2 linked regions of the Saccharomyces cerevisiae S288C genome follow. The main gene of each other region encodes a partner of the protein of the gene in region 2 in a complex. Each region holds a gene or a part of one and is shown on either strand. Other genes may lie near its edges. The genes, in order: TFG1 and TFG2. A codon is read from its position in the direction of its gene.

The links.
Region 1: the proteins of TFG2 (region 2) and TFG1 are in contact, whole or in part, in a cryo-EM structure (PDB 7UI9), measured with the Saccharomyces cerevisiae proteins. Residues at the interface, in NP_011519.3 of Saccharomyces cerevisiae: Leu57 (codon at 1,724), Asp58 (codon at 1,721), Leu59 (codon at 1,718), Leu61 (codon at 1,712), Arg66 (codon at 1,697), Gln67 (codon at 1,694), Val68 (codon at 1,691), Trp69 (codon at 1,688), Leu70 (codon at 1,685), Val71 (codon at 1,682), Arg72 (codon at 1,679), Leu73 (codon at 1,676), Met75 (codon at 1,670), Ala78 (codon at 1,661), Trp81 (codon at 1,652), Arg82 (codon at 1,649), Arg84 (codon at 1,643), Asn85 (codon at 1,640), Asn86 (codon at 1,637), Leu87 (codon at 1,634), His88 (codon at 1,631), Gly89 (codon at 1,628), Gln90 (codon at 1,625), Glu91 (codon at 1,622), Leu92 (codon at 1,619), Gly93 (codon at 1,616), Lys94 (codon at 1,613), Ile95 (codon at 1,610), Arg96 (codon at 1,607), Ile97 (codon at 1,604); in NP_011702.1 of Saccharomyces cerevisiae: Pro95 (codon at 2,562), Asn96 (codon at 2,559), Glu97 (codon at 2,556), Tyr98 (codon at 2,553), Asn99 (codon at 2,550), Glu100 (codon at 2,547), Phe101 (codon at 2,544), Pro102 (codon at 2,541), Leu103 (codon at 2,538), Arg104 (codon at 2,535), Ala105 (codon at 2,532), Ile106 (codon at 2,529), Pro107 (codon at 2,526), Lys108 (codon at 2,523), Glu109 (codon at 2,520), Leu111 (codon at 2,514), Asn113 (codon at 2,508), Met114 (codon at 2,505), Arg115 (codon at 2,502), Thr116 (codon at 2,499), His117 (codon at 2,496), Leu119 (codon at 2,490), Lys120 (codon at 2,487), Phe121 (codon at 2,484), Lys125 (codon at 2,472), Lys126 (codon at 2,469), Ile127 (codon at 2,466), Asn128 (codon at 2,463), Pro129 (codon at 2,460), Val130 (codon at 2,457).

The regions. Positions count from the first base shown.
Region 1 is NC_001139.9:865,846-870,617, reverse strand, and holds TFG1 (transcription factor IIF subunit TFG1), read right to left. Parts: upstream 2,845-4,772; coding exon 637-2,844; downstream 1-636. Other genes in the region: HGH1 (Hgh1p), read left to right, coding at 1-386; tyrosine--tRNA ligase TYS1, read left to right, coding at 3,098-4,282. UniProt on the Saccharomyces cerevisiae protein: TFIIF is a general transcription initiation factor that binds to RNA polymerase II.
Region 2 is NC_001139.9:503,968-507,650, forward strand, and holds TFG2 (transcription factor IIF subunit TFG2), read right to left. Parts: upstream 1,893-3,683; coding exon 690-1,892; downstream 1-689. Other genes in the region: PEX31 (peroxisome biogenesis protein), read left to right, coding at 1-359; mRNA splicing protein PRP18, read left to right, coding at 2,103-2,858; ECT1 (ethanolamine-phosphate cytidylyltransferase), read left to right, coding at 3,002-3,683. UniProt on the Saccharomyces cerevisiae protein: TFIIF is a general transcription initiation factor that binds to RNA polymerase II.

The sequences.
Region 1 (4,772 bases), 360 kb from region 2:
CTAAAGATTCTGAAATTGATGAGGAAGATATGTTCAATTTACCAGATGAACTTCAATTATTACCAGAGGACAAGGAAAGAGACCCGATTCCTGCAATTATATGCTGTCATTTAGAAAGTATTCTTTTGCTATGTACAACGCATGCTGGAAGAGAATACTTAAGAGACAAGTCCGTTTATCCACTAGTGAGGGAGCTGCATAAAAACGTTGAGAATGAAGATATTGGTGAATTATGTTACAGAATTGTTAATATGTTAATGAGAGGCGAGCCAGGTGCGGGAGCAGTGGAAGAGATGCCATCAAAGAATGCGGAAGAGGAAGAAGAGGAGGAGAGTGAAGAAGAAGAAGATGACGACGAAGAAGATGAAATTGTCGAAGTGGCCTAGGTCACTTTCAAGGACAGTTCACATAGCATAGAATTGTATAATACAGAAATAACAATATATTAGAGTTTAGTAGAATTCTGAGTCTTTTCTCAAAAAAAAGGCAGAAAAAAAGACTAGATAAAAAAGTATACTTACTGCAACTAAAATGACAGTATAATGTAACTACATAAGATTAAATGGAAAGAAAAAGGAAAGAATGAAAAGAACGAAAACTAAATAACCTATTAAGTACATAACATTATAAACTAACCTACTCTTTCTTTAATTCCATGTGGTCATTGCCAACCTTTCGACACAATTTTTTTACAATGGCAAACATTAGCTTTTTATTCTCTGCGCCAGGATATTTTCTTCTGATGAACTTTCCAAACTCTTTGATATTGACTTTGCCATCACCAATAGCCTCGATGATATCTTTTTCTGTTATTGTAGGCGCTGGAGTTTCTTCCCTTTCTGCCACTGTAGAATTCAAGCCTTCCTCTTGTTTGATTGGCGAAGGCACTGTATTCGATGCATTATTACTACTATCTACAGCTTTTGTCGTCTGTGGATTCCATTCTCCCTCTGGGAAGCTTTTCAGTATTTTCTTATCCCCCTTCAAGATAATGACACAGTTTTTAATACTTTTCACCCTCAAAGTTGGCTCTTTATGCACATGCGCATTTGTAGCTTTCTTTTGCTGTTTCTTTGGAGAAGATCTCTTGGATTTGGATAGAGTGTCCGAATCTTCTTCCTTTTTAACGGGCGATTCATTCTCTTTGTTTTCAATATCGGATTCAGATAAGTATGGGTTGATCTCATTTTCATCCGATGAGTATAGTGCTGCAAGTTCTGTCTTTTGTAATGCCTTCTTAATTCTTTCACCATCCTCATCAATCTTCTTTTCCCCAAATAACTCATCTTCTTCGTTTTCGGAAGGAGCTTCTTCATCACGAAGCCCCATCGCATTAGCTTGCAGCATCTCCTTCTTGATTCTTTGTTCTGATTCTTTATTTTCTTGTTCATTACCATCTATAATAGGTGCCTCCTCATCATCGGCAAACTCTTCATCATAATCTAACTCTACTTCTGAATTGTCATCACGATCATCTTCATCCATAGCTTGTTGATCAGCGACGGCTTTAAGCTTTCTTCTTGTTCTGTCATATCTAGTTGTAGTTGTACCTATATTATCCAAATGCTTCATCAACCAACGTGGCACTTCACCACTTTTTTTGTCCATTCTTTTTTCTGCTTCGTCAATGGTCAAAGTAGCATATTTATTTCTTGCGGTAAACTTATAAACCTTATCAGCAGGAATCATGGTAAAACTTCCATCATCTTCTACACTTAACAAGACATAAGAATCTGAGTTACCTGCTTCATAAGAACCCACCCATGTATTGTACCCATCAAAATCTTCCATAACCCATGGATAAAATTCCTCAAATCTCAGCTTTTTGGCGTTCTCATCAAGAACTTTTAATTGACGAGTTTTCCTTCTCAAATTTCCTCGTTTGGCCCTACCGCCTCCATCTGGTGCCACATCTGCTAGTGGATCCATAGTTCCTTCTTCAAATTCCGGTTCGTTAGTCACTTCTTTTCCGTCGTACTTGACCATTCCAACTTTAGTAGGGTCTTCAGCTGGGCCTGCATCCTCTAGTTTTGTCACTAACGGCCTTCCGTTAGCTAGATTCGCTGTAGATGCATTGCCATCCAAACCGTTAGCTGCACTAGTTGAACCATTTGACAGTCCATTACTTTCAACGGCGGATACAGTAGTAGGACTAGCAGGAGGGACAGAAGAGCCAGTTACAGTAGGAATGGAGGAGTTCACACCGTTGGCCGTGTTGTCTTTAGTAACTGAATCAACAGTAGGTGTCTGAGACCCATCTTTAACAGTATTATTGAGCGAGACCGTTCCTGATTTATTCATACCACCCGAGTTAGGAGTACTTCTTTCTTGCTCTGCTTTTTTTTTATACTCAGAAATTTCTTTTTGCCTTTGAACAATTTCTGCTCTTGTTAGCTGAAACTGCAAGTTTCTCGTATCCTTCCTATGCAGTCTTACGGGAAGATGGAAGTCTGTTACAGGGTTTATCTTTTTTTTACTCTGAAACTTCAAAAGATGTGTCCTCATGTTTTCTAAATCCTCCTTTGGAATAGCTCTTAAGGGAAATTCATTATATTCATTAGGATCTTCGTCCTTTACTTTAACATTGCTCCTGCCAGCATCGGCCTCGACACCGATTTGCAAAAGCATTTTCTCTCTCTCTTCAGCATACTCAGGATCATCCTTTTTGACAAGAGATCCCCTGCTGTTGTCTCCATTTGGTACGCCTGGGGAACTAGAATTGCTGCCGTTTTGACCCATTCTCATCCTCAGGAAATTTCTTCTCATTCTGTCTCTTTTAATGAAGGGAGAGGCATTCGTCGGACCTCCCCCGTTTCTACTGCCTGGTGGATTGCGTCTGGACATCCTTGCGCTTACTCGAATAGGCCTCCCTAGCTATTCTTCAACCTTTCGAACCATCCATACTTCTTACTATCATAATTTTTATTTTATCATGGAGGCGAGAAGGTCCTTATTCGAGCATCACTAAGAACGGAACTCGAACATTTACAAAGTAGAAAAATTTTATGAAAATTAATTGTTCTTTCTTCAGAATACAAATTAGTCATTGTCAAAAAGAGATTAGCATCCATAACCGCATACTCTAATTGACGATAACATGTCCTCTGCTGCCACGGTTGACCCTAATGAGGCGTTCGGTCTCATTACCAAGAACTTGCAAGAAGTCTTGAACCCACAAATCATCAAAGATGTTCTCGAAGTACAAAAGAGACATTTGAAATTATACTGGGGTACCGCGCCCACTGGAAGACCTCATTGTGGTTATTTTGTTCCTATGACCAAGCTTGCTGATTTCTTGAAAGCAGGTTGTGAAGTGACTGTTCTTTTAGCAGACTTGCACGCCTTTTTGGACAACATGAAGGCGCCATTGGAAGTGGTGAACTATAGGGCCAAATACTATGAATTGACCATCAAAGCTATCTTGAGAAGCATCAATGTTCCAATTGAAAAGCTAAAATTTGTTGTTGGCTCTTCTTACCAGCTAACTCCAGACTATACCATGGATATCTTTAGATTATCCAACATTGTTTCACAAAACGATGCTAAAAGGGCAGGCGCTGATGTTGTCAAGCAAGTCGCCAATCCATTATTGAGTGGGCTTATCTATCCTTTAATGCAAGCGTTGGACGAACAATTCTTAGATGTTGATTGCCAATTTGGTGGTGTCGACCAGAGAAAAATTTTTGTCTTAGCGGAAGAAAATTTACCAAGTTTGGGCTACAAGAAAAGAGCACATTTAATGAACCCTATGGTTCCAGGTTTGGCTCAAGGTGGTAAAATGTCTGCCTCTGATCCGAATTCAAAAATCGACCTTTTGGAAGAACCAAAGCAAGTTAAGAAAAAGATCAATAGTGCATTTTGTAGCCCCGGTAACGTCGAAGAGAATGGTTTACTGTCATTTGTCCAATATGTCATTGCACCAATCCAAGAATTGAAGTTTGGTACAAATCACTTCGAATTCTTCATTGATAGACCAGAAAAGTTCGGTGGTCCAATTACCTACAAATCCTTCGAAGAAATGAAATTGGCTTTTAAAGAAGAAAAATTGTCCCCACCTGATCTAAAAATTGGTGTTGCTGACGCTATCAACGAGCTATTGGAGCCAATCAGACAAGAATTTGCCAACAACAAGGAATTTCAAGAGGCCTCCGAAAAGGGTTATCCAGTTGCCACACCACAAAAGTCGAAAAAGGCTAAGAAACCAAAGAATAAGGGTACTAAGTACCCAGGCGCTACTAAGACCAACGAGATTGCCACGAAACTAGAGGAAACCAAATTGTAAGCATAGCTTAATCCGTTTTCACGATTCATAATATAATAAATAAGAAAAGATATATCATATAAACGTTATAAAATTAATAACCGGGTAAGTGTAGAAAAGTGATGCGACGGTTTATTTTCTCTTCCTCTTGCGATTGAATTTAACTTGCAGATAGTGACCATAAGGCAACTACCCAGTGGCAAACAGTTTTGATAACGCCCAGTACATCAACGAGCGAGTATAAAGACTTTGGTACATTTTAAAAAGGAAACATATATTGTTTTCATTGCTAGACCCTTTTAGTCTCACCTCAATAAAACTGCTTTATTCCTCATTGGGCTTTTTATTCTTTAATTTTGCATACTTATAGCGTGAAACTGGGCATTTAACAAAAGCAAACTATTTTAATAGTAGCATCCTGCTTTCTTTGCCCCTCCTTCTTATTGCGATACATTATTAAGTTTTTTTACCACCTTTCTTCCTTTTTCTTCGCATCTTCGGACAAAGGCAG
Region 2 (3,683 bases):
ATGATGGGATCATTCAACTTCCTGCTTCTGCTGCTAAGACAAAAGTTAAGCCAGGTGCAGATGAAGGTTTCATATATTATGATAACACCTGGAATAATCCCTCTGCAACGGACACATATAAAAAGTACACAAGAAGAAGGAGGTGGATCAGGACTGCAACAGTAACAACAACGTATGACGATGAGCCCACTGTAGAAAAAGCTACACCGAATTCTCATGCTCTGAAGAGTGAAGAAAATAATAGAGTTAGAAAAAGAAAAGTGTCATTTAGTACAGCAAATGAAGTGCATATCATACCTTCCTCGGACAGTAGCAAATTAATACAAATATCTGATGTTTCAATGTCTCCTTCTCTATAATGAGTGCATGCCCCATATGGACAACAACGTTCACACTGGTCGGTGCAAGGGCACACAGCAATCTCAGAGTTTCTTTCATTGGCTGCATGGAGCACAAATTCAATCTTGTGCTTTAAAGTATCTGCGCGGTTATGGCAAGTTCTCCATCAGTCTCTTATTCCAGCAAGCATTCTTTTACGGAACTTCAATGCATCTAAATACATATGTACAGATAGCCAAAACTAATAGAGACATAATAAATTAAACAAAACTGTAAATTTTAAAAAGAGTATATATAGGGCTCAAGAAACTGCGTAAATATAAAATTAATGAAGAAAATCTGATTGTCAACTAAACGACATCTTCCATTTCTATTTCATCTTCCAAGTCAGCCTCCGCGTCTCCTTGCGCATTGTCTCCAGCGGAACCTGTTTGCTCATCAGCTAGTTCACCTAAGGTTGCCTTTCTCTCCTCCTCTTTCAACTTTTTATACTCTGGCCTTAAAGTGTATTTGAATGCATATGGGCCCTTCTTCACTAGAGTGGCAACTTTATCCAAACACTCCTTTAAATGTGCTTCAGGTTGCCTAGTACGTTCCTTCAACCCCTTCAAGGACCAGTAGTCATACTCATCAAATAACTTGAACAAGTAATCCAAGATTTCCTTCTTTGGCATACGAATAGATTTAATATTGCTCTTGGCCTTCTCACGCCCCACTTTCAAGAAATTCGAGTTGTCTGACCTCATGGACATACCTGTGTGGCTCATCGTAACACCAACGGTTTCATCCAAAGTTGTGATCCTTTCCTTATTATTAAGCTTGACAATATTTCTTCTCTGTTCAACAATCTTGTGATAATTAGGATCATTCATTGATGGCATAACCTGACATTCGTGGCAAACTGTACCCACAATGGCGGTTTTTTTGGGAATCGTCTTCACATATGGTATATATCTATCTCTACCATCCCTATCTGTCATAACTCTGTGATTAAACTTTTTTCTATTATTTCTACGTTTTTGCTGCTGCTGCTTCTTCTTAAGTTCCTCTTCACGTTCTTGCTTCTTCAGGTAAGCTTGCCTTTGCTTTTCAGGATCTGCTTCCAACTCCTTTTTACGTTGTTGATATTTCTTTAAATTTTGTTCTGTGAAAACATATTCATTTTCTACTACTTTCTTTGTAAGTTCTAAATCATATTCGTGCGGTATAGAATCGTTATCATTTTCATTCAATAGAAGTGTGATTTTACTCCCATCCTTGTTTATCCTAATTTTACCCAGTTCTTGGCCATGCAAGTTGTTTCTGTCCCTCCATTTCTCTGCTAGAAACATGGGCAATCTAACTAACCAGACTTGTCTATTACTACGTTCCAAGTCCAAATCTAAGGATTCTTCATAAACTTTGGTTTCATTATTCTCAATATCATTACCGTCAAAAACTTCCTCCTCTTGCGAAAGATACTCATCACCGGAAATGTTACCTGATTTCTCCTTCGCGACAGAGTTCGTGGAATTATTAGAAAGTGCTGGTGCCCCTGCTGAACCACTGCTCATGGTGTTAAGTTGGTCTTCTATTTTACTCTTAATATTGCGTTATGCGTTGAAGCCAACAGCATATGTCTTATTCTTCTAATTTCAAGCCTGATAATTTATTCATTTCGCGCAAGGGAAGATGAAAAAGTTAAGAAGAGAATCGACCTTTGGAAAGGGCCCCAATGGAAAGAACTTCAATGTTTTTTCCTCTACAAGTAATAAGAGCATAAAATGGACCTAGATCTAGCCAGTATCTTAAAAGGTGAAATTTCTAAGAAGAAGAAAGAGCTGGCCAACTCTAAAGGTGTTCAGCCACCATGCACTGAGAAATTCCAGCCACATGAATCCGCAAACATAGACGAAACACCGCGACAGGTAGAACAAGAAAGTACAGATGAAGAAAACCTGTCAGACAATCAGAGTGACGATATTAGGACCACCATTAGCAAATTAGAAAATCGGCCAGAAAGGATACAAGAAGCGATAGCTCAAGACAAAACCATCTCTGTAATCATTGATCCATCACAAATTGGTTCTACTGAAGGAAAACCTCTTTTGTCAATGAAATGTAATTTATATATTCACGAAATATTATCTCGTTGGAAGGCGTCTTTGGAAGCTTATCATCCGGAGCTGTTCTTAGACACTAAAAAAGCACTCTTTCCACTCCTACTGCAACTACGAAGGAACCAGCTTGCCCCGGATTTACTTATTTCCCTTGCGACCGTTCTCTATCATTTACAACAACCTAAAGAAATAAATTTAGCCGTTCAGTCCTATATGAAACTCAGTATCGGCAATGTGGCCTGGCCTATTGGTGTTACTAGCGTAGGCATTCATGCTCGTAGTGCACATTCGAAAATTCAAGGAGGCCGGAATGCTGCTAACATAATGATTGATGAAAGAACGCGATTATGGATTACCAGTATTAAAAGATTAATAACTTTTGAAGAATGGTATACCAGCAACCACGATAGCTTAGCCTAATTGTTGAACTATTGTTTTCGTTATCGCGTGGCACGATATCATGCGGCCAAAATAAGAAGCAAGAATGCAGATGTTGATAGCCTTTGTTCAATTTTCCAGAGACAAATGCTTTACAGGATCGGGACTTGAAATATACTGACTGGATGACGGTAAACTTAGATCCGGATAAAGTTTGGATAGACGGCTGCTTTGATTTCACACATCATGGGCATGCGGGAGCCATTTTGCAGGCTCGTCGAACAGTTTCAAAAGAAAATGGTAAACTATTCTGTGGTGTGCATACCGATGAAGATATTCAGCATAACAAAGGAACACCAGTAATGAACTCTTCAGAAAGATATGAGCATACTAGATCAAATAGGTGGTGTTCGGAAGTGGTTGAAGCGGCGCCATATGTTACAGATCCCAATTGGATGGATAAATATCAGTGCCAATATGTTGTTCATGGTGATGATATCACCATAGATGCTAATGGAGAAGACTGCTATAAGTTGGTGAAAGAGATGGGGCGCTTCAAGGTAGTTAAAAGAACATATGGCGTAAGTACTACCGAGATTATACATAGAATATTGACGAAAAAATCTTTGCCACCGACTCATCCTGATTATTATCCCACCACCCAGGAATTGAGTTTCTATTCTGTCGCCCAAGATGCCGTTTCAAAACATTGTTATGTCTTTCAGAGGGATTTGGACAATGTCTTGGTCAATGGTGGATACAAATTCGATGCAGAAGATTGTGTTTATGTTGACGGGGATTTTGACTTATTCCATATGGGGGATATTGATCAGTTAAGAAAGCTGAAAATGGATCTTCACCCCGATA